3 linked regions of the Schizosaccharomyces pombe genome follow. The gene in region 1 interacts genetically with each later gene. Each region holds a gene or a part of one and is shown in the gene's direction. Other genes may lie near its edges.

What was found. Genes that interact genetically often act in the same process or in processes that back each other up.
Region 2: mutations in yhb1 (region 1) and rem1 together harm fitness more than expected from each alone (negative genetic interaction), as found in Schizosaccharomyces pombe (one large-scale study listed by BioGRID).
Region 3: mutations in yhb1 (region 1) and tim18 together harm fitness more than expected from each alone (negative genetic interaction), as found in Schizosaccharomyces pombe (one large-scale study listed by BioGRID).

Annotation. Positions count from the first base shown.
Region 1 is NC_003424.3:5,513,730-5,523,175, forward strand, and holds yhb1 (nitric oxide dioxygenase), read left to right. Parts: upstream 1-4,221; 5' UTR 4,222-4,229; coding exon 4,230-5,513; 3' UTR 5,514-6,221; downstream 6,222-9,446. Other genes in the region: SPOM_SPAC869.03C (urea transporter), read left to right, coding at 1-1,013; SPOM_SPAC869.01 (amidase), read right to left, coding at 7,628-9,379.
Region 2 is NC_003423.3:1,950,184-1,956,995, reverse strand, and holds rem1 (meiosis specific cyclin Rem1), read left to right. Parts: upstream 1-2,283; coding exon 2,284-2,745; exon of another isoform or gene 2,746-2,830; coding exon 2,831-3,577; downstream 3,578-6,812. Other genes in the region: phosphatidylserine decarboxylase Psd1, read right to left, coding at 1-1,287; SPOM_SPBC16E9.20 (uncharacterized protein), read right to left, coding at 4,635-5,204. UniProt on the Schizosaccharomyces pombe protein: Required for pre-meiotic DNA synthesis and S phase progression. Regulates levels of meiotic intragenic recombination.
Region 3 is NC_003423.3:2,033,667-2,039,814, forward strand, and holds tim18 (TIM22 inner membrane protein import complex and succinate dehydrogenase (SDH) anchor subunit Tim18), read left to right. Parts: upstream 1-2,393; 5' UTR 2,394-2,433; coding exon 2,434-2,913; downstream 2,914-6,148. Other genes in the region: MPP complex beta subunit Qcr1, read right to left, coding at 1-1,177; SPOM_SPBC29A3.21 (uncharacterized protein), read left to right, coding at 3,426-3,728; Cu(2+) transporting ATPase Ccc2, read left to right, coding at 4,321-6,148. UniProt on the Schizosaccharomyces pombe protein: Membrane-anchoring subunit of succinate dehydrogenase (SDH) that is involved in complex II of the mitochondrial electron transport chain and is responsible for transferring electrons from succinate to ubiquinone (coenzyme Q).

The DNA of each region.
Region 1 (9,446 bases):
CCGTCTCTAGTAAACAAGTTAGTGAAGGTATGCCTTTACTATATGGAATGACTGCATTAATGGGAAAGAACGGTGCTGCCGCTGGAGTTTTAATTTTATTTATGGCATCAACATCAGCAACTTCCGCTGAACTTGTTGCCTTTTCATCGGTTATGACATACGACGTTTACCGCAATTATTTTAGACCGAATGCAAGTGGTAAAGAGTTAGTTCGTGTTACACATGTTTTTGTTACTATATTTGCTGTATGTATGGGTGCCCTTGCTGTTCTTTTCAATTATATCGGTATAACAATTTCATGGATTATTACATTCATTGGTATTGCCCTCGGACCAGCTGTGTTCGGAATTACATTGACTTTATTCTGGAAAAAAATGAATAAATATGGAATGATTATTGGATGTCCCATGGGATCTATCACAGGTGTTGTTTGCTGGGTAGGATCGTGTTACAAGTTTTCTAATGGTGTTGTAAATAAGACAACCTTAAATACTCCTTATGCAAATGCGGTAGGTAATTTCACCGGTCTTTTCTCTGGATTGATTTATATTGTTCTCATATCCTACTTTTTCCCTAACAAATCAGATGATCTAAATAATCTGAATGAAAAGTTTGTGTTAGGTGATGACGCTACTGCTGAAGAAATTGTTGATGCAGAAACTGAGAAAAAGCAACTTGATAGGTCCTTGAGGATTGGAATCTTTGTCAGTTGGATAATATTTTTTATTTTGGTGATTATAGTTCCACTTCCAATGTATGGATCAAAGTATATTTTCTCTAAGCTTTTTTTTAGAGGATGGATTATTGTTATTATAATTTGGACCTTAATAGCCGCTTTGTATATTACTTTTTATCCTTTATATGAAAGCAGAGATACTATTGTATATCTTTGTAAACTAGCGATAGGAAAAGCAAAGGCCCCCGAACCCATGAATTATGTGGATGCAGTAGAAGTTGAAATTGAAAGCCTCTCTGATGATGATAAAGAGAAGAAAGCAAATGATTTTCTTTAAATCTTAACTTAAATGACAAGCTTTGCAGTCTTAAGAATTTTTGATTTAAAATTCTTAATTTATTGAGAGCATCCAATTGTGAATTTGCTTTATTACCAGAAATAATCTTAACCTCCTGGTTTCCTATGTAGCTTTTATTGCTATGAATTTTAATCTTTAATAAATCAATTGATTGCAAATAATAGCGTAATTTGAGCTTTGTCATTTTTTGGCTATGCTTTATTGCGCAAATTTAGTCCTCATTTATTCATTATACTTACTTTTGGATACAACAATAGTCCGTTTAGGTACTATTCCACTAAACGAAGATAGTAAAATAAGCGATTTCTACAGAGGTTATCATTTATCTGACTTAATGTGTAATCAAAGTGATTAATGATTTTTTAAGAGACTCTTTTGTAAATAAAAAATAAAATACATTTCAGTTGTTTGGATGTATATTTTGTAGTTGATAAGGGATTACTGAGGTTGAAAGCCCTTGAGAAACGAGGCAATACAGTGATGATTACGACGCTGTTTGTTTGTCGGGATAAAGAGATAAAGAAAAAGAAGCAGTCAAGTAGGCAATATTGACGTTAAGTGATTTTTTGTGAAAATGTCAATTATTTATAATTTTCCTGAAGAAGGTAATGAAAGATTGGGAAAATAAATAGATGCAAGTAAATTTTGTAAGATAAGTATACCCTTTATCTCTTTTGCAAATGTGTTTTGTTCGATTTTGCAATAAAAAACTAAAGTTTGTACTTTTAGTAATTGAAGGCATTTTTGCATATTTGTGCTTTTAATGCATCAGCTGTTCCCATAAACTATGTGTAAGCTTAAAGGAGAACGTTTGTTAACAAAATTAGACATTTTTGAAATATTTACACATCGTTTCTACTTATTAAATATTAATTTTTTTTCATCTTTTAAAAGTCGGCAACATTTTGAATTTATGATTATATTTGTATCAATGATATATTTGCAATTTAGTTAAAATAATCAGCTCGTAAAGAATGCTATGGCATATCAATTAAGAAGAGCTTTAGGTTACTAAAAGTTTATGATTACGGAATAGAAGATTGAAATAACTACAAAATTTTGATATCGCTAATGGGTTCGTAGTTGTGTAGTGTTTACTCAAAATCTAGTATGTAGACCCATCTGTGCAGTCGATTTTTGATGATATAGAGGTACTATTTCACAAATGGCCATAAGCAATTGAGTAAAAATAAAACTTTTTGCTCAGAATCGAGCCAAAAACTACTTAATTAAACGTAATATAAGCAAATTACCTTGAAGGTTGATACAACAAGACAAATAATTCAAAAAAGGGAATAAAGCTATGAAGATTGCGTACTAAGCTGAGAAGTACGTTTTATTGAAGGTTAAATGCAAGTTGAGAAGTGACGCTTGAATATCCAAAAGCTAAGGAAGTAGCGGTTGTCAAAGGTCAGACAGTTAGTACAATCAAAATTCGGCAAAAAAGATTCAATTTAGAAAACGAAAAGTAAAGAGGATTTGGTACGGAAAAAATTACTATGATCTTTAATATTTGCATTTGAACTTACACAACAAAGTTAAGGAATAATTGTAAACCCTTGCAATAAAATGGAATTGAAACAAATGCCTTGGAGGAGAATGTTTGCAAAAAAAAACTTTTATAATTTGTGATGTACAGATATTTTTAATAACTCTCGTTTAAGTAACAAAAAATGTTGAAGCTGAATTCGTTTTCTCAAACAAGTTATTCAACCTTACATTGACTAGGTTCTTCAACAAAAACCTATTATATTTATCAAAATTGTACTAATAGTTTTAAGTAAGCGATGATCCACTTTAACCACAGTCCTACTTTTGCAAATTATGCAAAAATGACTTTAGTTTTTGAATTGCTTGTAGTCCAAGATGTTTGGAATATCCAAATGAATTCATTTAAATCTTATCTCGTTAATATACGGCTATTTAATAGTGTGATATAACAGCAACATTGCATAAGACATGAGCTTTTTTGATTATTCTCTTTTCTCACTTTGACGATAAGAACCACGTCCTTACCAGCATTACTTTGATCTGTGCATAAGTAAGAGGGAAAAGTTCCTGAATTATTGTATTAATTTAACATCCCTACAATTTAATACTCAGATTAACTTTGTTTTCTTCAACGTAGAAGTAAAAACCATAACAAGTATCTGTGTTGAAAGATGAAGGGTAGGTTCATTAAAATTACGATACCAATGCATCACTATGTTAAATACATTCGTTAACTAAAGTGTAGTTATAGTTCTTCCTACGGTTTTCGTTACATTAGTAAATAGCTGTAACCAGGAACTAATAAGTAACGGTTACTACTCTCATTTATTATGCTGCAAAATTACGCAAATTATTTAAGACTGATTGTTACAAAAGATTTTGAGGTGTTCCTTCGGGAAAAAAACAGCAATCATTAAACAGATAATTGTTTTGGCAAATTTATTTCAAAACTGTAAACAAACGTTCCGTCGAAGTTCAATCAGTTGTCATTAGAATCATTAGAACCTGTTAAGTTCCTAGGACCCAAATTTTGCACATTACTTTTTAACATTCTAAAAACAAAACGCGGGAGAGTTTAAATGGGAGCTCAAACAGTTTAGTTTAAATGTTTTGACGAATCTTTTTAGAAATGTTGTTGCGCTTCATTATAAGATCCAAAACAGTCTATAACGGCGGACAAAAGAATTACTCAAATCATGTTAGTTAGTATATCATGCTTTATAAAGAAATGTGCTTCATTGTAATCATATTTAACAAGAGGTTGAGGCCTTTGGTTTCGTGTTCTCACTATCAACGAGGCTGAGACTTCTACCGAACGATCTAGAAGTAAGTCAATGTTTAATCAAAAGTCGCAGCCGACGGTGATGACAAACCCGAAGTGGAAATGCTCCAATATACCATTGGCAGTGAAACGTCGTACGACTGAATGCCAGCAAAAGATTTTGTAGCATACAGCTTCCCTACCTGAATGGCTTCTGAGTGGCTAACACGCAACTTGATCCGGATTAGTTAACGAGCTGTCTCCCGAGACTCCTAAAAGAAACCCAAAGCTGCAGAACGGTCATAAATGAGTTAACTTTTCAATATTGGTTACTTCTTGATTATTAATATTGTAAGTTAAAAGAATTCAAAGCCTTACTATTTTCTTGATTGATTTAATATATATATGGCATAACCGTTTGGAATTAGAGATTCCAAAGTAAAATGTCCAGTGTTGAGGTTAATCGTGAAAACGCTGATGTTGCTAATACAAATCGACAGGCAAATCTAGCAGAAGGCTATGAAATAAAAGAACTTAATGAATCGCAAAAGCAGTATATACGTTCTTCAATCCCAATCCTTGAATCATCTGGGGTAAACTTGACAAAAGCATTCTACCAAAAAATGCTAGGTAACTACCCGGAAGTGCTCCCGTACTTTAATAAAGCGCATCAAATTTCTTTATCTCAACCAAGGATTTTAGCGTTTGCTTTGTTGAATTATGCTAAAAACATTGATGATCTCACTTCGCTCTCGGCTTTTATGGATCAAATTGTGGTCAAACATGTTGGTTTACAGATCAAAGCAGAACATTATCCCATAGTGGGACATTGTCTGTTGAGCACCATGCAAGAACTACTACCTAGTGATGTTGCTACCCCGGCATTTTTAGAGGCATGGACTACTGCATATGGTAACTTGGCAAAAATTTTGATTGACTCTGAAAAAAAAGTTTATCAGAGTCAGCCATGGAACGGGTTCGTGGAATTCAAAGTTACAGAACTTATTAATGAATCTTCCGACGTAAAATCAGTTTACTTGGGTCCGAAAGATCCAGCTTTCAGAATTTCTCATGCCCACCCAGGGCAATATGTCAGTGTGCTCTGGGAAATACCTGGTTTATCACATAAAACATTAAGAGAGTATTCATTGTCTAATCGTGTTGATACTTGTAGAAATCAGTTTCGCATTTCTGTACGCCGAGTCGCTGGGGGAGTAGTTTCCAACTTTGTACACGATAACTTGAAAGTTGGTGATATCGTTGGTGTCAGTCCTCCGGCCGGTAATTTTGTTTACAAACGTTCAGAGGAAAATGTAAATCGCCCGCTTCTTTGCTTTGCTGGTGGTATTGGTATAACACCGCTTATTCCAATCATTGAGACAGCTTTATTAGATGGAAGAAAGGTAAACTTTTGTTATTCTAGCAGAAATTATGTTAGCCGTCCTTTCAAACAGTGGCTTGAGCAACTCAAACTTAAATATAAAGAGAACTTGAAATTGAAAGAGTTCTTTTCGGAGGAGTCCTCAGTTACTAAAGAGCAGATTGTGGATGAGGTAATGACTCGTATTATAAATGAAGAAGACCTAGAAAAGCTAGACTTAAGTGAATGCGACATATACATGCTTGGACCAAATAACTATATGCGTTTTGTTAAGCAAGAACTAGTCAAACTAGGAGTTGAACCAAATAAAGTACAGAGTGAATTTTTTGGACCGTATATTCCTTAAGTCGCAAATGCAGCAAAATCTTTCTGGATACTTTGCAATAACTGGTTGAATAACATTAAAGTGAAGTAGTGAATTGATGAATTTATAAAGGTTTAGAATTCTGCTGAACATTGTAAAATGTTCAGATACAGATTTTTTTAGTACTTTTTTCAAGTATATTCCGAAATAGAATGGTTTCTCAAATAATTACTTATTTATCGTTTATTATGAAGCTGATTTATTTTTATTGCTATTTGTGACTATGGATAATGAATATTACAAACTTTAAATCGGTTTACCTTTTTAAAAAAATGAACTTTACTTGATTTGAAAGCACGCTATTTTCGCATAATAATATTTTAAATCTGAAAGCAAAACTCACATTCTTGTTGTACAACAACTCCATTTTGATTTCGATTAGCACTAGCTGCAATGAGAATATAGTTAAATGTTTAAAGATAACATCAATTTAAATAAAAGTATGTGGAAATTGAATTCGTTAATAATGTGAATCTCTTGGCTGCACTTTTAAAGGCATACGGGTTATATCCGACAGCTTTTATTACAATCAGAATTCATTGTACTAGACGGATTTAATTGCTGTTGTGCACTATAGTTTCTAGACGTCCCGTATTGGTGAATTTGGTTTAGTAGACATGGTAAACAAGAACCAAGGATTCGAATGTTGAAGTATTAAAAGTTTTAAAAGGTGAATTCGATCTATTCGAGAGAAAAAAGGATTGCACGTGCGAAGGCGCTATACAATTTTCAAAATCGAGTTTGCATGCCGCAAATCTAAAATATTATCTCCTTTTGTTGCGAATACACCTGATAACGGAAGCGAGATTTTTGTTTTCGCATAGTAGGCCGTATATAGCAATAAATTAGATAAAAATATTAATCGCTTTTTCAGCCGTCGATTTCATTAATCAGCCACTAATATCTTTTGAATTATTAAACATGTCGTTCACTGCATCGATCATGTAGTAGAATCAAAGACTTTACCCTAACATTTTTATTTCATCCGCACAAATTTATCATGATGTAAAATCAATAAATTCTTGCTTTAAGTTAACGTATTCTCTAATATACTAGCAATGATATCGGTTTACGTTTTTAACCCAGATTTTAAACAACTGAATTGCTATTTTGGGCCTATAGTTCGAAATCGAAGGGAAACAAACATGCCTTCTTAAATAATTTATGATAAAGAGTTATATATACTAATACCCTCATTTTGAAGTATTACATGTAACTTACAATTTGTATATACGTTTGCAGATTTGATAAACCAGAATTTGAAATTATTTCCTTACGTTTTAAACATAAAAAAATTTTTAAGTAGAGTTCATACGTCTGATAAGCATGATTCTATATATTAAATCATTATGCACAACCTTGGGACAAAATTGGGGTAAATTGGCTAATTAATCCTAGAACTGTGTAACTACATGAAAAAGAATTGAATTAACAACACTATATTTTGCAAAAAAACTGAGTGACATATTATTAACAAATTAAAACAGTAATTAAGAACCATATTATTGAGTTTCGTTTCAAACCTCGGCTTTCTAAAATAAGGTTGTTAATAGATAATAATTGGATAACTGATTCAAATTGTAGGAATTTCAACTATTTCTGAATTTTGTTTATAAAGCTTATGATCCTATTCTTAGTAGATGTTTTTATTAATTATTGAATAAACATCTGTTAGAAACTATGGTTGTTATTTCATGGATCTAATGTAATCTTTTAAATTCTCATGTAGTAAAGTAACTATGTTTTGATGTTGAGTATTTGTCTCCAGGTACGTTTTCAGCTTTTCTTTTTTTTTAACAAGTATCATTGATTGCTCAATCTACAAATAAATAATTACATATTATATTAAAGATTGTTTTGAAAGGCCCAACAAAATATTAATGAATTTTGTAACTTTTTTATTATTTATAGCTAAACCCAAAGTAAGTAAGAACTGTTTATCGTCCATATATATATCTCATTTTGCTTAGTTAATAGCACAATTAATATGTAAAAATCATAAGATACGAAACGAGTGTAAATTAATTCGCCTGTTTAAATACTTTAACCAGAGTAAAAGAAAAAAGAAATCATATAATCTCATGAGATGTGGTTGCCTACCAAACAGGAACGTTTTTGGCAACATATTCATAAAACTTGGGTTTTGCTTTGTATTGCAGAAGATCCTCAATAGCCGATCCATATTTAATTAGTTGAGGTTCTTGCCAGGCTGAATGCATAATTCCTAATCCAAATGGTCTGCCATTTGTTTTTACACCTATAGGAAGAGTAATCATAGGATATCCTGCTTTTGCTGCTTGCTGGTAAGTAATTGATGTACCACTTGGAACTAACAAGCCATTCAATATAAAACTATCATTCGTTTTAGGATCCGTATAGTTTAATGCGTAATCAATTCCCTCATCTTGAGATGTACGACGCACGTATTCAACAGCTTGCCAGTAGGTTTCATTTTTAACTCCACCCCATTCCAAAGATGCCAAAAATCCATCTTGACCAGATGAAAAAGCGGGTACAATATTTGGTTTTCCTCCTTCTGTTCCCATATATTTATTGTTATATTCAACAATATCCTCTAAAGAATGTATCTCTGTATTTTTTACTTCTGATAAATAACTTTTTATATTGTTGTAGAAATCCACTTTGACAACCGTATATTCTGATTCATTGACGGAACCCAATTCCCAATTCCATCCATCATTAGAAATTACATCCAGGTTATAAAAATTTGTATTGTTGTAAACAATAGCCCCGGCTTCTTCGATTTGTTTAACTACCTCTAATAAACGATCAATTTCGTCAGCCTTAGCATTTTGCCAAAGCCTTTTCCATGGAAGTCCAAATCTCGCGCCTTCTAAAGATGTTTTGTTGGATAAAAATTTCATGTAATCACCATCTTCAGGAGTCTTTCCTGTCTGGTTCAAAGTGTAAATATCATTTTCATCAATACCCCACATAGACTGGAAAACATAAACAGCGTCTCGAACTGTTCTGGCAATTGGGCCTGTTGTGTCTTGGTGTTCAGACTCTGGAATAACGCCATATCGAGAGGTCAGTCCTACTGTGGGCTTCAAACCTACAACCCCATTTCGCATGGCTGGGTCAATTATACTTCCATCAGTTTCAGTCCCCAATGCAAATGCAATCATGTTTGAGGCAACTGATATTGCGGACCCAGATGATGAGCCGCCCGGATTCACTGTTAGATTAAATGGGCACCTTGATTGCCCACCACGTGCAGAATAGCCCTCACTGTAGTCATTAGACCTCATATCTGCCCATTCTGAAAGCGTCGCATGTCCAAATAGTACTGCCCCTGCCTCTCTCAATTGCTTGACTACGTACGCGTCTCTAGGAACGATTGAGCCCAACAAAGCATAAGAACCAGCTGTGGTGTCCATCTTGTCTTTTGTTGCAAAATTATCTTTCACTATAAATGGGATACCATGTAGTGGTCCTCTAATTATCCCATTAGCTCGTTCATCATCTAGTTCCGAAGCAATTGTCAATACGTCAGGGTTAAGTTGTAGAATTCCATTAACGTAGGGATTTACTTGTAGATACCTATCTAAGTAACAGTGAACAATATCAGTAGAAGTAAGAATTCCATTTTCCATGTAGTTCTGCAGCTGATCAATAGTAGCATCCTCTAGCGTTATATTTTGACATTTGGGCATCGGAAAAATATTGGTTGAATTTGTATCAGGATATACGTATGTGGTGAAATTGACTTCTTGAGAAGCAACTAATGTACTATTTGTAGTTGTTTTACTTGACTGAAGTAATGGGATAGCAAGACCGTGTTTTGCTAACTGAGCTAGTGTAAGAAACAAAAGTTGAAGCTTCATCCTGTACAGAAAAAATCAGTTCCTTAAAGGGGAAGCAAAAAAAAAAGATATCTACTTTAAGGGTTAG
Region 2 (6,812 bases), on another chromosome or scaffold:
CAAAGGTAATCCCACACGAACTTTCTGCCCTTGTTTGACCAAAAATTCAAAATCCGCAGGTGCTTCAAACACCAATACCACTGTACTACCAAGCTCAAAATTTCCGACCTCATCTCCACGAAGTAATGGGTGACCATGCAAAATAGAAGAAGATGAGGTGTATACAGCCTCATCAAAAGTACCTACTGGGCCTAGTTTTCCAAACTGATTCGTACATAAATCTTTATCAAATTTAATTCGGATACTGCCAACATTTGTAGCACCGACGGGTATCATACTCATAAACCCGTATTTGTATCTCCCCATCAAAGCTACTCTTTCGTTCAAGATGAAAAGATTTCCGAGTCGACGAGCCATAAAAGGAGAAACGCTAAACAGCTCTCCGGAAAAATGCCTTCTTCGTTCTACGACCCAATCAGTCGGCGAATGAAATCGATGGTAATCACCTGGTGCCAAGTAAATAACTGCGTAGTATAAACAATTCGTTTCTCTTGATCCGAACAACGTAAACTGTGATTTGGCTGCCACTTTTGTTGAGCTTAACAAATCAATATGTTGTGCGCTAGCATCTTTGACATGGCTTGGTCGTTCACCATGATCATGACCCATTAAATCTTGTAAACTGTAATGTATACCATTTAACTTGGCAAACTCCTCTTGACGAATGTGAGGGATATGATCGGGAGAGGGAATAGCATGGCTGCGCTTCAAACGAGCTAACTTCTCATCGCCCAATAGTGCATCAAGGGAATAGGTTATACCTTTTACTTGTTCAAGCTGACCTCCTTCAATAACACCATAATTCAAGATTTTCCCATCCGCAGGAATAACAATTGGGGCATCGGGATCAATTACGCGCGCTCCAGGTTTCAACTTTCTGGTGAAAAACTCGGCCAGATTTTTGTATTGGCGGACATCATCGGGGTCAGCTTCTGTCAAGTTGCAACCAAATATTTTAGAATAAAGGCCAAACGCTGGCACTCTCATCCATAGAGGAATCTCAATACGATTAACATATCCCCACCAACGCGAGAGAGTTCGTAATGGTAAAGTGGTAAGGACATAAAATTGCCATGGTCCCTCCACCTGAACGCCTTTCTTCTGATACGTTTTCTCGTGACGATCTTGAGCCCAAGCGAAGCCAGCTAATCCAACCAAGCCGATTCCTGTCAACCCATATGCTAAGCGGATGATTCCAACCCGTTTACGAGAGTTGTGTTTTCCCAAACTACTATACCTTGCAAATGCACCAAATTGAGGCTTCACATTACGATGAAATTTTAGCATGTTAGATTGTTTTTATGGAATTAAACTTTTGAATGGATTTCGGAGACCCGTTAACTTTTAAACTTCCATATGCTATTTCTTCGAATCCATGTGCTTCTCAAAGGATAGTGGTAGAAGTTAAGTCGTAGTAAACTTGGGATATCAAGTAAATATGGGAACTGTAATATGATTTAAAGTTGTTGAGTTTTCATTTTCTTTCTTTTTTTTTTTTTTAAGGAAATTAAATCAGATCCTTGACATTGTATCAGGCAATCCTACTTTGCGAAAATCGATCAAAATTAGAAGAAAGGAATATTCCTTATAGCATTGTATAAGTGCAGAAGAAACTTTCGAAGCAAGTTTGTAGAAAAATCTTAGAATAGGAGATTCTTTTCAATTACATTTCAATTTGTTTGATTATAATAACTTACGAGAAGGCGTAAATTAATTATTTTTTTTAAGCTTGTTTGATGGTTACCTAATAGAAAAAAAGCTTAATTGTAGCAAGATTTCTTATGTTCAGTTTTCAATGATTCGAAAACGGTAAAATAATGGAATGTTTACAACCGATGAGCGACTGTAAAAACTCATCAATACAAATAATAAAAGAGTTTTTGATCAAAATCCTTGCTTTACTTTGATAACGTTTCGATCAACACAAAAACCTATTTCATGAATTCGGGCATTGTTTGGAATTTTTAAGCAGCATGAATTCTGATATAGTAGAGGTAAAGTTTAGTTTTGGGTTGTGTTTTACTTTAAGGTTACGACCGTTGGTATATGTATATGGGAAATAAACAAACATTTTCACCATCAACTTTTTGTTGACTCACTGTAAACAAACAGAACCTGCTAATAGCATACTGCCATTTTACAACAAAAAGTTCAAGAAAACGGTTTGATTTGATTCCCAATCATTAAAGAGTAAAAGCAATTGTATTGACTGATACTTGCCTACCTAAGAGCTTGGTTGAAACAATTAAAGCGACCGTTTCAGCAACGAGAACCAATTCAAACATGAACTCTAACAACAAAAGAGTTGCGCTTCAAGAAATAAGCAATTATGTTTCCAAATCATTGAACGTAAAAGGCTGGGTGAACGCACAGGTACGAGAAATATCCCTTCAAAATGGGTGTAGCCCATCAGATAAACATTTTCCGTCACAGAGCTGGCATGGAATTAGTTCAATTGAAGAGTCGCAAATACAAAAGGACTATGATAGTTTTTTAGCGTCACCTTTAGAGGAAGAGATAGTCTTTACGGAGAAACAGCTTTTGGTAGATTTGGATGTTTGCTCGATCAGTAACGTTCAAAGTCCTAATTGCAGTGTTTCGGAATTTGGCATAGCGATTGAAGAATCAAATGACAATTGTGCAGAGGAGGATGAAGAGGAGGAATTACAGATGAGATATTCAGCAGATGAATCGGTGTCTGTGGAATACGCAAAAGAAATCCTATCGCACATGGAGAAATTGGAGGTATGAAAAAAATGGGAAGAAAAGGGGGAAGGAAAACAAGAAGATGAAGGAGTTGAAGAAGTTTTTATTTATTAACATTTTTTAGATTCGATTTATGCCTGATTACCGACATATGTCGGCTCAACCATATTATGTTACAGAGATGAGGGCTAGTGTGATCAATTGGATTGTGGGGGTGCATACATGTATAAACCTGCTTCCAGAATCCTTATTCCTATCGATCAATGTATTGGATAGATTTCTATCTCTACAAAATGTGCCAGCATCGAAAATGAAACTTTGCGGCGCAACGGCGCTGTTTATTGCTTGCAAGTATGAAGAGATCCATCCTCCTACAGTGAAAGATTTGGAAATAGTGTTGGAGGGAGAATGGATAGGAGAAGATATTTGCGGAATGGAAAAGTATATGCTTATGGTTCTTCAATATCAACTTGGGTGGCCGGGGCCAGTATCGTTTTTGAGGCTATTGACGATTGTCAACAAATGGGAGTCGCAGCTGCGAATAATGATAAAATATTTTCTTGAAGTATCGCTAGTGGAACAAAGATTTTCAAGTCTAAGGGCGAGTCAATTGGTAGCGACATGCGCCTACACCGGCCAATCTATATTGCAAGAGGAAAACTGGAGCAATACGTTGCCTCAAATTACGGGATATGATTATATGAGTTTAGTTTCGTATGTGCATCTACTGTTGAAATGTCTAGAAAATCCGTTTGATCACCACTATGCGATCTATTCAAAGTATGCAACACCGTATTTCCATGGGATTAGTCGACAAGTGCATGACTGGATTGCGACAAATACGAACTTGATGGCGATGGATGGTAGTTGAGGGGGGGGGGGAAGAGAAAAAGGAGGGAAAAGAGAGAGAAGAAGAAGTAAGATGTAGGAAATTTAATGAAAGATAGATATGAAGAGGATGAGAGAGAGAGAGAGAGAGAGAGAGAGAGAGGGAAGTGTAGGAAAATAGAGAAAAAAGAAGAGTAGTAGTAAAAGTAGAAGAGTAAGAGTAGGAGAAAAAAAATTACACGAGAGAGTAAAGACTGGGGTTATAGAAGTGAAAAGGGAGACGAACGACTTGATATGGACTTTTGTGAAAGAAGCTCGAATTAAGGTGTATCGCTAAGTAAGAAGGTTTGTAAAAAGCGAGGGAGGGTGGGACGGAATAGAGAAGCGAAGGGTCAAGTTGATGTCGAGAGGTTGGTAGTGCGGTAGATGTCGCTAATAAAGGTTTGTGAGAAGGAGAAGAGGAATCGCTACCAAGTACCTTTTATTAAAGGAGTGCCTTAGAATACAGTAAAAGAAAATAAAAGATGAACAAGACAAGGAAAGAAAAGTACCTAAATTGAACAAGAAAAAAAGAATAAAAAGCAAAATTAAATTAAAAAAAAAAAGAAATAAAGAAAATAAAAAAAAGAAATATTATTATTGTTATTATTATTTTAAATTTATTTTATTTTTATTTATTTGTTTTTTTTTTTTAGTAAGGGTATATATTTTATTAATAATAATTTTTACCTAGTGGTCCTATCTATATCTTGTTGTTGTGTGTATCTAGATGTCTATGCTACCAAAAATCTGTAACCTAATTTGTCTTATCTGATAATATGCTCTATGATACTATGAATAGCCATATCAGCTCATGAATATAGGAATCCTTGGAGCAGTCATTTGATGAAACGAGCAGTTCTTTTGAAAGATGCTTATCAACGTATTTGGGCGTAAATAGAAAAAGTTTGGGTTGTAACATTTGTTGAGTTAAATACATTTGAAATGTTTCAGAGAGTATGCAGACGGAATTGTTGTTGCTGAACATTGGCAAACACATTGATTTGCAAACATCATCGACGTAGCATTTCCCCGGTTTCCCTGTCTCCAAGGGCTCGTCATCATTGCGTCGTTTGCAATAAGCGCAAGCCAACGTGGGGAAACATAGCACAGAGGGGAGAAACAAAGTGCGATAAGTTTAGTTTTCGTAGTGGAGCGAGATGCAAGGAGTGCTTAGGAATGAGAGAAGAGAAGAGAGAAGAGAGTAAAGAGTAAAAGGATGTAAGGGTGTGAAGATGAGAGCATTTGATAAACAAAGGAAAGAAAAAGAGAATAGTCGAGTAGAATGGATGTAGAATAAAATATAATGCAATAAAATAAAATAAAATAAGAACAAAATAAAAATAAAATAAAATACAATACAATACAATACAATAATCATGAATTTTCATCTTCTTGGAATGAAACCATATCTTTTCCTCTTTTCCTCTTTTTCTCTCTTCCTCCTTTCCTTTCCTCTCCCCTTTCTCTTTTTGCATTTGCGAGTTGCATCGAAGCGACCCGCTCCATTTCGTAATTCCCGTTTCCATCGACGTAATGCACGTCGTAATTCCACCACCAAGAGAAAGCAAATGATGGAAAAGTCCAACACAAACACCGACTGGAGGAGTCAAACTCACGACAACCAGCATGAACAAACAAACCACACCGAAAATACAGACAATTCGATGTCAAAGGGCCAGGCTGATGGCTGAGTTGCGACCGACGTAGAGGAAATCAACCGAATAGCAAAAGAGGTAGAAAAGAAAGGAGAGATGAAAAACAAACGCAATATTATCAAACAATCACAATTCATCATGTAAACAATAAGAAGAAAAAAAGAAAAGATGGCAAAAAAGAAAAGAAAAGATGGTTTCAACATTTCACTTTTCTATTTACTATAAACTTCAATTCATTCTTACATTCCAACATTTATTCATTCCTTCTTTTCTTCATTCATACCTTTTCTCCATTCTCTCACTCTCACTCTCACTGCCCTTCTCTTCTCTCTCTCTACTCCACAGCGTCATCCTTTCCTCATCCTTTTCCCTTTCCATCCTTCAACTTAATTACTGGTAGGGTCGGTGACGTTTGTTTCAATTTGGCTCGTGGATGGCGACGTATTTGGGCATTGGAATGGCATGCCTATTGCTACGCTCACACTCACCATGCCATTCTGCAATGAAGAACGTGACGTAGATTGGAAAAAAAGTATTGAATCGCTCGAGTTGGGCGTGATGTAAGGCATTGACTCATTTACTATATATTGATGGGTTCGCTCGTCCTTCTCTTCTCACATATAACAATTACGAAAGAAAAAAGATTAAAAAAAAGATTCGCTTCTTGTTTGCTTTTATCCCATCTTATTCAAACGACTCTTATTTACTCGATTCATTTGATTTGATTTGATTACTCTCTTGTCTATAGTACATTTCTACCTCAATTTGTACTAAACGATTTCTCATACTCTTATACTATACTATACTATACTATTTTAATTTTTCTTTTTTCATTCAGCCCTCATAACACGACTATTCTTCTACCCTCTACTACATAGTCTTGTTATAATTCTCTCCTATACATAAAAGTCATAGTCAAAAAGTTTGCACCCCCTCGCCTTTTTTTGTCTTTGTCTTTTTATTTTATTTTTTTACTAGTCTTAACATACTACTATTGTTACTAGTACTTCTACTGACTGACTGAGTGAATTTTTGTATTTATTCAATTCTTCCTCGTTTCCTTCCTTGATTTACTGTTTGTACCCCTAAAAAAAACACATTTTCATCTCCTTTTTTTTGTGTTCAAGGTCTCTGTGATTGATACTCTCTATATCTAATTTCTCTTATTATTTATATTATATATCAATTACACACATTCTATCTATCTATATATATATATATATAATATATATTGATATATAACCCGATTTATTATCAATATTAATTATTTGTTTGTTACGTTTGTTTTTTAACGACTCTTTTCTTTTTTACGACTCTCGACAAGTTTTCGATTTCTCTTTCCCCCAAGTGATCTCTCTTGTCTCTACGTTTCAATTGTTTTAACGAACTTGTTATTTATTTATTTATTTAACTCTTTATCACGTTTTTAACGCTTTTACGTTTAAAAATCCCCTTCTTATTTATCAACAACACTTTTGATTCTCTTACATTCTTCTATTCTTCATCATCATGGTTGGAACTATTAACGAATCAATGCAAAACATGAAAATCGGCGCTAAGGAAACCGCCCAATCTGCTAAA
Region 3 (6,148 bases), on another chromosome or scaffold:
GGCGACCAATGTCCTCTGCAATGGCGGTCGTTGAATCCAAAGAAAGTAAAAGCGAAGCACGGAGTTGTGCCTTGGCACGTTCAACCTCAGCACGAGTTGCAACGGTTAAACGAGCCCAGTTTTGGAGGGTAAAGTGGACGAGATCATCAATACGGCCAAGGTTCTCAGTGACAAGATAAATACCCCAAAGTCCAGTATCACTATAACTAGTACTGAAACTCATGAAGCTATTGGCAAGTTGATGTTGTTGAACAATAGTACTAAGACGAGAAGACAAATGGGGAGATGCTCCCATAGCACGGTCCCAGTTACCAATGATGGCTTGCATGACTAATGCAGTAAAGTAATCTGGGTGTTTCCAACTCATACCTTCAACAGCAATGGCAATGTTGGCAGTTGGTGAATCATCGTCACGAGCACGGATTTCAGACCCGACGAAACGAGGTTTGAGTCCACGAGGAGCACCAAGCGACAATTGCTCAGCTGAAGGCTCCAAATGGCCAAAATATTTTTCGGCGAGCTTTACAAGCTCCTCATGAGATATCGAACCGGCAGAAGAGATAATCATTCTATCACTACGGTAGTTGTCCTTAATATACTGGAGAAGGTCCTCACGGGTAAGAGATTCGATGTTTTCCTTAGGACCCAAAATTGTACGTCCAAGAGGATGACCCTGATAAGCGGTAGCATGTAAATGATCAAAGACTACTTCATCGGCCATTTTGTCAACCTCTTCTTGCTCTCTTAAGATGACTTGGCGTTCACGCTCAACCGCCGAGGCAGAAATGCTTGAATTTGTCAGGATATCGGCCAAAACGGCAACTGCATTAGGTACAGCGTTTTTGAACGCATGTGCATAATAAACGGTTTGTTCACGAGAGGTGTATGCGTTCAAATGTGCACCAGTATTTTCAAATTCCAATTCCAATGCTTTTTGGGAGCGATTTTTCGTTCCTTTGAACGCCAAATGTTCCAAAAAGTGAGCAGCGCCATTATTTTTTGCCGTCTCAGCTCTTGAGCCAGCATCAACGCCCACAAGGACGGTCGCTGTTTGGGCATACGGATGATGTTCCGTAGCAACTGTAAGCCCATTTTTTAAAGTAGTGGTTTCTGTTTTTGGTAAAGCAGTAGTCGCAAAACGACGTACTAGCTTTGGCAAATTCTGAAGCCTCAGCATAGTAATATCAATTCAAGCTCCTTTGGTTGGGTGGGATTCTGTGGATGGTAAAGGGTAAGTAGGTAGCAAGAAGGTATTCCGTAGAGGTGTAGCGTAATACGTGTTATCGAGGTCCCAAGTTCGAATTTCGGCAAATGACCAATTGATCCCATTTAATAAAAAAAGAAAACTAGCAATCCTTGAATCCCTTACTAGAATTTCCATGTAGAGAAAAATAAGAAGTTGACCATTCAAACAGAAACTTTCGGATTGCCTAGTCTTTGCCCTGTGCGCAATTTGCTATAAAGGAAGGAAACGAATGACCGTACAATCCAGTTCATGATATAATATATCTCTACTTAACATGGAGAATCTCATTGGTAAAAAACTATGTAGGGGATATATTGTTTCATCGGTATATTGAAAAGAATCTATATGACATTGAATCAGACAGGGTAAGACACTTCATCAGGTTAAGTTCGTATTCATCTACATTAAAAGGTTATTTATACTTAACGAAATTCTCTTTTCCATGATTTCCATTACAATATTTCGGTTAATACATTTTTAAAAAAATAACAGTCCAACTATAGAATTTTGACTAGCACCGAATCAAGCATTGTTATACATCGACTATTGAGTAGCTTGATGGTTTCTTTTTATGAGAATAGTTTTTTATATAAATGATATTAATTTAAATAAAATTTTCATCCTCTTAAAACCGTTTCTCTAACCTTTTTTTAAGCCAATGCAGCACCTTTATATTAGCATAATTGCTACAAGTAAATTTCTATAGCTTTATCTATATTATATTATTAAGTAAAAAGATTTACAGTAGATTATTGTTTTTTCACAATGTAGTGCTTTCCGTAAAATTTTTTTTGAAACTGCAGTAACTTTTGGTACTGTGTAATATTATAATAGATATTCAAACTCACCACAAAACCCATGTAATATTATATGTAGAAGGTAATTCGTTTTCAGCAGTGAATAATATTATTATAAAAAGTAATAACCAGGTTTTGAAACGACCTTAAAGACCGGAGATTCTTCTGAATAAACTTATTAATCTATTATATCTATTTAAATTTCTAGTCTTTACTCTATGTTATACAATTTTTCGTTTATGAGTAGATAGATTTAGGTTCTCATCGCCTATTTCCGGCCACTCCAAGCTCAACACATCGAGCTGTTGAATGGCCAATAATGTGGACACAAGATCCGCCAATACGAACTCACCTACTACCACCACCAGCTTTTCTTGGTTTACAAACAATATGTTACAAACACGTTTAGGACTTGGAGCACTTCGTCAAGGACGTCTTCTTTTTGCAGTTAAATCTTTTAGCACAACCAGTGTTGCGAAAATTTTCCCTCCTCCCCCTCAGACCATTAAGGGAACTGTTAATGATGCTGCTGTTTTCCCTCACCACAGTAAGCTCCACGGAAGCTATCATTGGGACTTTGAAAGAATTATTGCTATTGCCATGGTTCCTCAAGTCATGATCCCTTTGTTCACCGGAACTTCTCATCCCTTAATGGACGCTGCATTGGCTTGCACCTTGATTACGCATGCCCACTTGGGGTTTGAATCTTGTGTGATTGACTACTTCCCTGCAAGAAGATTTAAGAAGTTATCTCCTTTGATGCACTGGATCTTACGTGGATGTACTGTTCTTACACTTATTGGCGTCTATGAGTTCAACACGAATGATATTGGCCTTACGGAGGGTATTAAAAAGCTTTGGAAATCTTAAGCTTCTTTCCATGCAAACCCATATAACCCCACTTATTTTTTCATAATGATTATTCCTTTCCTTTTTCTTTTTTATTCTCCTTAATCCGTCATCTAGTAAGTTTTGGGCTTGAAACTTACCAGTTCAAACCCCAAAACTGCCAATTGATATTCTGCAGTTGATCTTTGCTCTTTTCTTGATTTCTGGCTTGATTGATCCTCTCAATTTATCTGTGTAAATCTGTTTAGCGCTTGCACAGTATGTTTATGTTTACCTTCAACGATAATTTTTCTAGTGGGAGTGGTTAGAAGACTATTCAAGTTTGTGGCAGCTCTTGTTAAGGTCCTTATGTCGACTTGAATTAATAATTCTTCCAAGACAAAATCCATTGAATTATTTTATTGGGTGTCCCATTTATTATTTATCGTTTAGAATGGGTCAACAATTTACCCATGTACGCTTCGTTCCCTTATTCTTTGATAAGGTATTAGAAGACATGCTCTAACGTTTACCGTTTTAATCTCATTTATCGAATGTTGCGTTACAATTTTCGATATTTACATAACGTTCTTAGCCATACTGTTGTATTTTGCTTTACCGAAGTGTCTTTACACATTGTTAAGCAATTGGGAGTGGAATCATATGCTTGCACTGTGCATGCGTCTCGGTTCCAAAAGTCGTACTCTGCTTCGATCGATTATTGTCAAAGATTTTTATTCTCCTCGAATTTAAAACATAATTATGTCAATTTGAATATTATTTTTACAAGTTGTATATTTCGTAGTTTGCGCGAGTTTTTGCGGTTTTATATCGCTGCCATCATGTGCTTTTTGTAATCTACCACACACTCACTAACACTTTGTTAACAAGTTCAGCTGATAATTTGCTCTTCTTCTGTAGTCTGTTGAAGTTGAATTCGTTTTGTTTTGTATTTTTTTCTAAATCGTTTTGTGGTGAAAATCACGATACAATAAGCGAATTCGAATTCTGAATTCGTGGTATCCCAACCTAAAACAGCTAACTGCTAAGCGTGTAAAAAGACTTTATTAGCTGGCTTTGTTTAACATTGGTATCGTTTTTGTTATTTTTCTTTTCCTTCCAAAGTTTTGTATGTTGATTTTCTTTTGTTGATCATCGGCTTGTCTCTTTTTGCTGTTGACTTACATTAAGTAATTGGTTTTAATCGTCAAATTTTGATTATTTCTTCACTTGAGGGGGTTTCTTTTTTTTTTTACGTCTCTTGTCTTTGATTTGGGTTCCTTACTATTATCTATTTATTTCGACATTTCCAACATTTATCGTTTCTATACAGTAACTCGCTTCTCTTAATTTTCCTTATTTAATCTCTAATTGGCTTGTACTATTTCTTTTTCGTTATTTCTTTTTATAATTTAGATTGCCTTTAAAAATTTTGTTTAGTTTCTTAAAATGTATACTACTACACTTTCAGTCCAGGGTATGACATGCACCAGTTGTGTGGCCTCTATCCAATCCATGTTGGAAGGAGTGGAAGGAATTGAACAATTCACTATATCGTTGCTTCTTGAGCGTGCTATTGCCGTTCATGATCCTAGCATTATCTCACCGGATCAGATCGCTGAGAAAATTGAAGATTGTGGATTTGATGCGTCTGTGATTTCTTCAACAGAGGGTGAACATGGTGTCATGGCTAATTATTTATTACTTTCTCCTATGCAGGCGGAACAATGGACCAAAGTACATAATCATATCAATGAACTGCAAGGCGTTTTGTCCGTCAATTGCTCTTCCTCCCCGGATGCAGCTATACGTGTCATTTATGATTCTGAGATTACTGGCCCTCGTTCCATCATGAAGGAAATATTATCTATGGGTGTCAAATGTACATTTCAACCAGTAGATTCCTCCACCTCTCGTATTCTGTCACTTCAACGAGGGAGTCAAATTAGAGTATGGAAAATCCGATTTATTATTTCAATATCATTCTCTTTGGCGGTGATGTTTTTACCCCAGATATTCGATTCTTGTGATTCCATGCGTGCTGCTTTTTTGGTCCCCCATTATTTTGGTATATGTGCTGGCCACATCATCAGCCTAGTATTATCCCTTCCCGTCCAGTTTGGTGTTGGAAGGGTCTACTATTCTGCCGCATATCATGCACTGAAAAGAGGAACAGCCAATATGGATGTTTTAGTATCTTTGGGCTCCACTGTAGCCTTCGCTGCCAGTATCTTTTTCATGATTCTCTACAGCGCTAGACATGCTGATAATCCTGCTCCTATATTTTTTGATACCGCTGATATGCTATTGACGTTTGTTACGTTAGGTCGTTATTTGGAAAGTAAAGCTAAAGGTTCTACATCAGCTGCTCTTTCTCAACTGTTGAGCCTTGCTCCTTCCAGTGCAACGATAATAGAAGACAATGAACAAATTGAGATCTTAGCTGATCTCATCGAGCGTGGAGACCTCATTCTAGTCAAGCCTGGCGAAATAATCCCTGTAGACGGTACGGTTGTTGAAGGCTCTTCCTACGTCGATGAAAGTTCTGTTTCTGGAGAACCCGTTCCAGTGCATAAAACAATTGACGATGAACTTTTGAGCGGAACAGCTAACGGGAATGGACGACTGCTTGTAAAAGCAACAAAATCACCTAGAGAATCACAGTTAGCTGTGATTGTTGATCTTGTTCAGAGGGCTCAAATCTCACATGCTCCTATCCAACAATTTGCCGATCGCGTTGCTGGAATTTTTGTTCCAGTAATTGTTGCTCTTTCAATTTCAACTTTTACATTTTGGTTTTTATTCACTAAATATTCTTCAAAATACCCATCGGTGTTTGATGATCCAATGGGAAAGTTTGCAGTTTGCCTAAAATTGACAATTAGTGTCGTCGTTGTCGCCTGCCCATGCGCACTGGGGTTAAGTACCCCTACAGCCGTTATGGTTGGAACCGGTGTTGGTGCTCTGAACGGTATCATCATCAAAGGTGGTGAAATTTTAGAGCGTCTAAATCAGGTTGACACTGTTGTCTTTGATAAGACAGGCACACTTACAGTGGGTAAGCTAAGTGTCACCGACATAAGCATTGTAGATAATTTGGAGGAATTACTTGACATTCCTAAGAATATTTTTTGGGCTTTTGTTAAAGCTTCAGAGTCTTCAAGTGAACATCCAATTGGAAAAGCTATTACTGAGAAAGCTTCAGAATTTACCGATGTTTCTGAAATTGGAATTGAATCATTCAATGCTGTGCCAGGTGAAGGTGTTGATGTTGTAC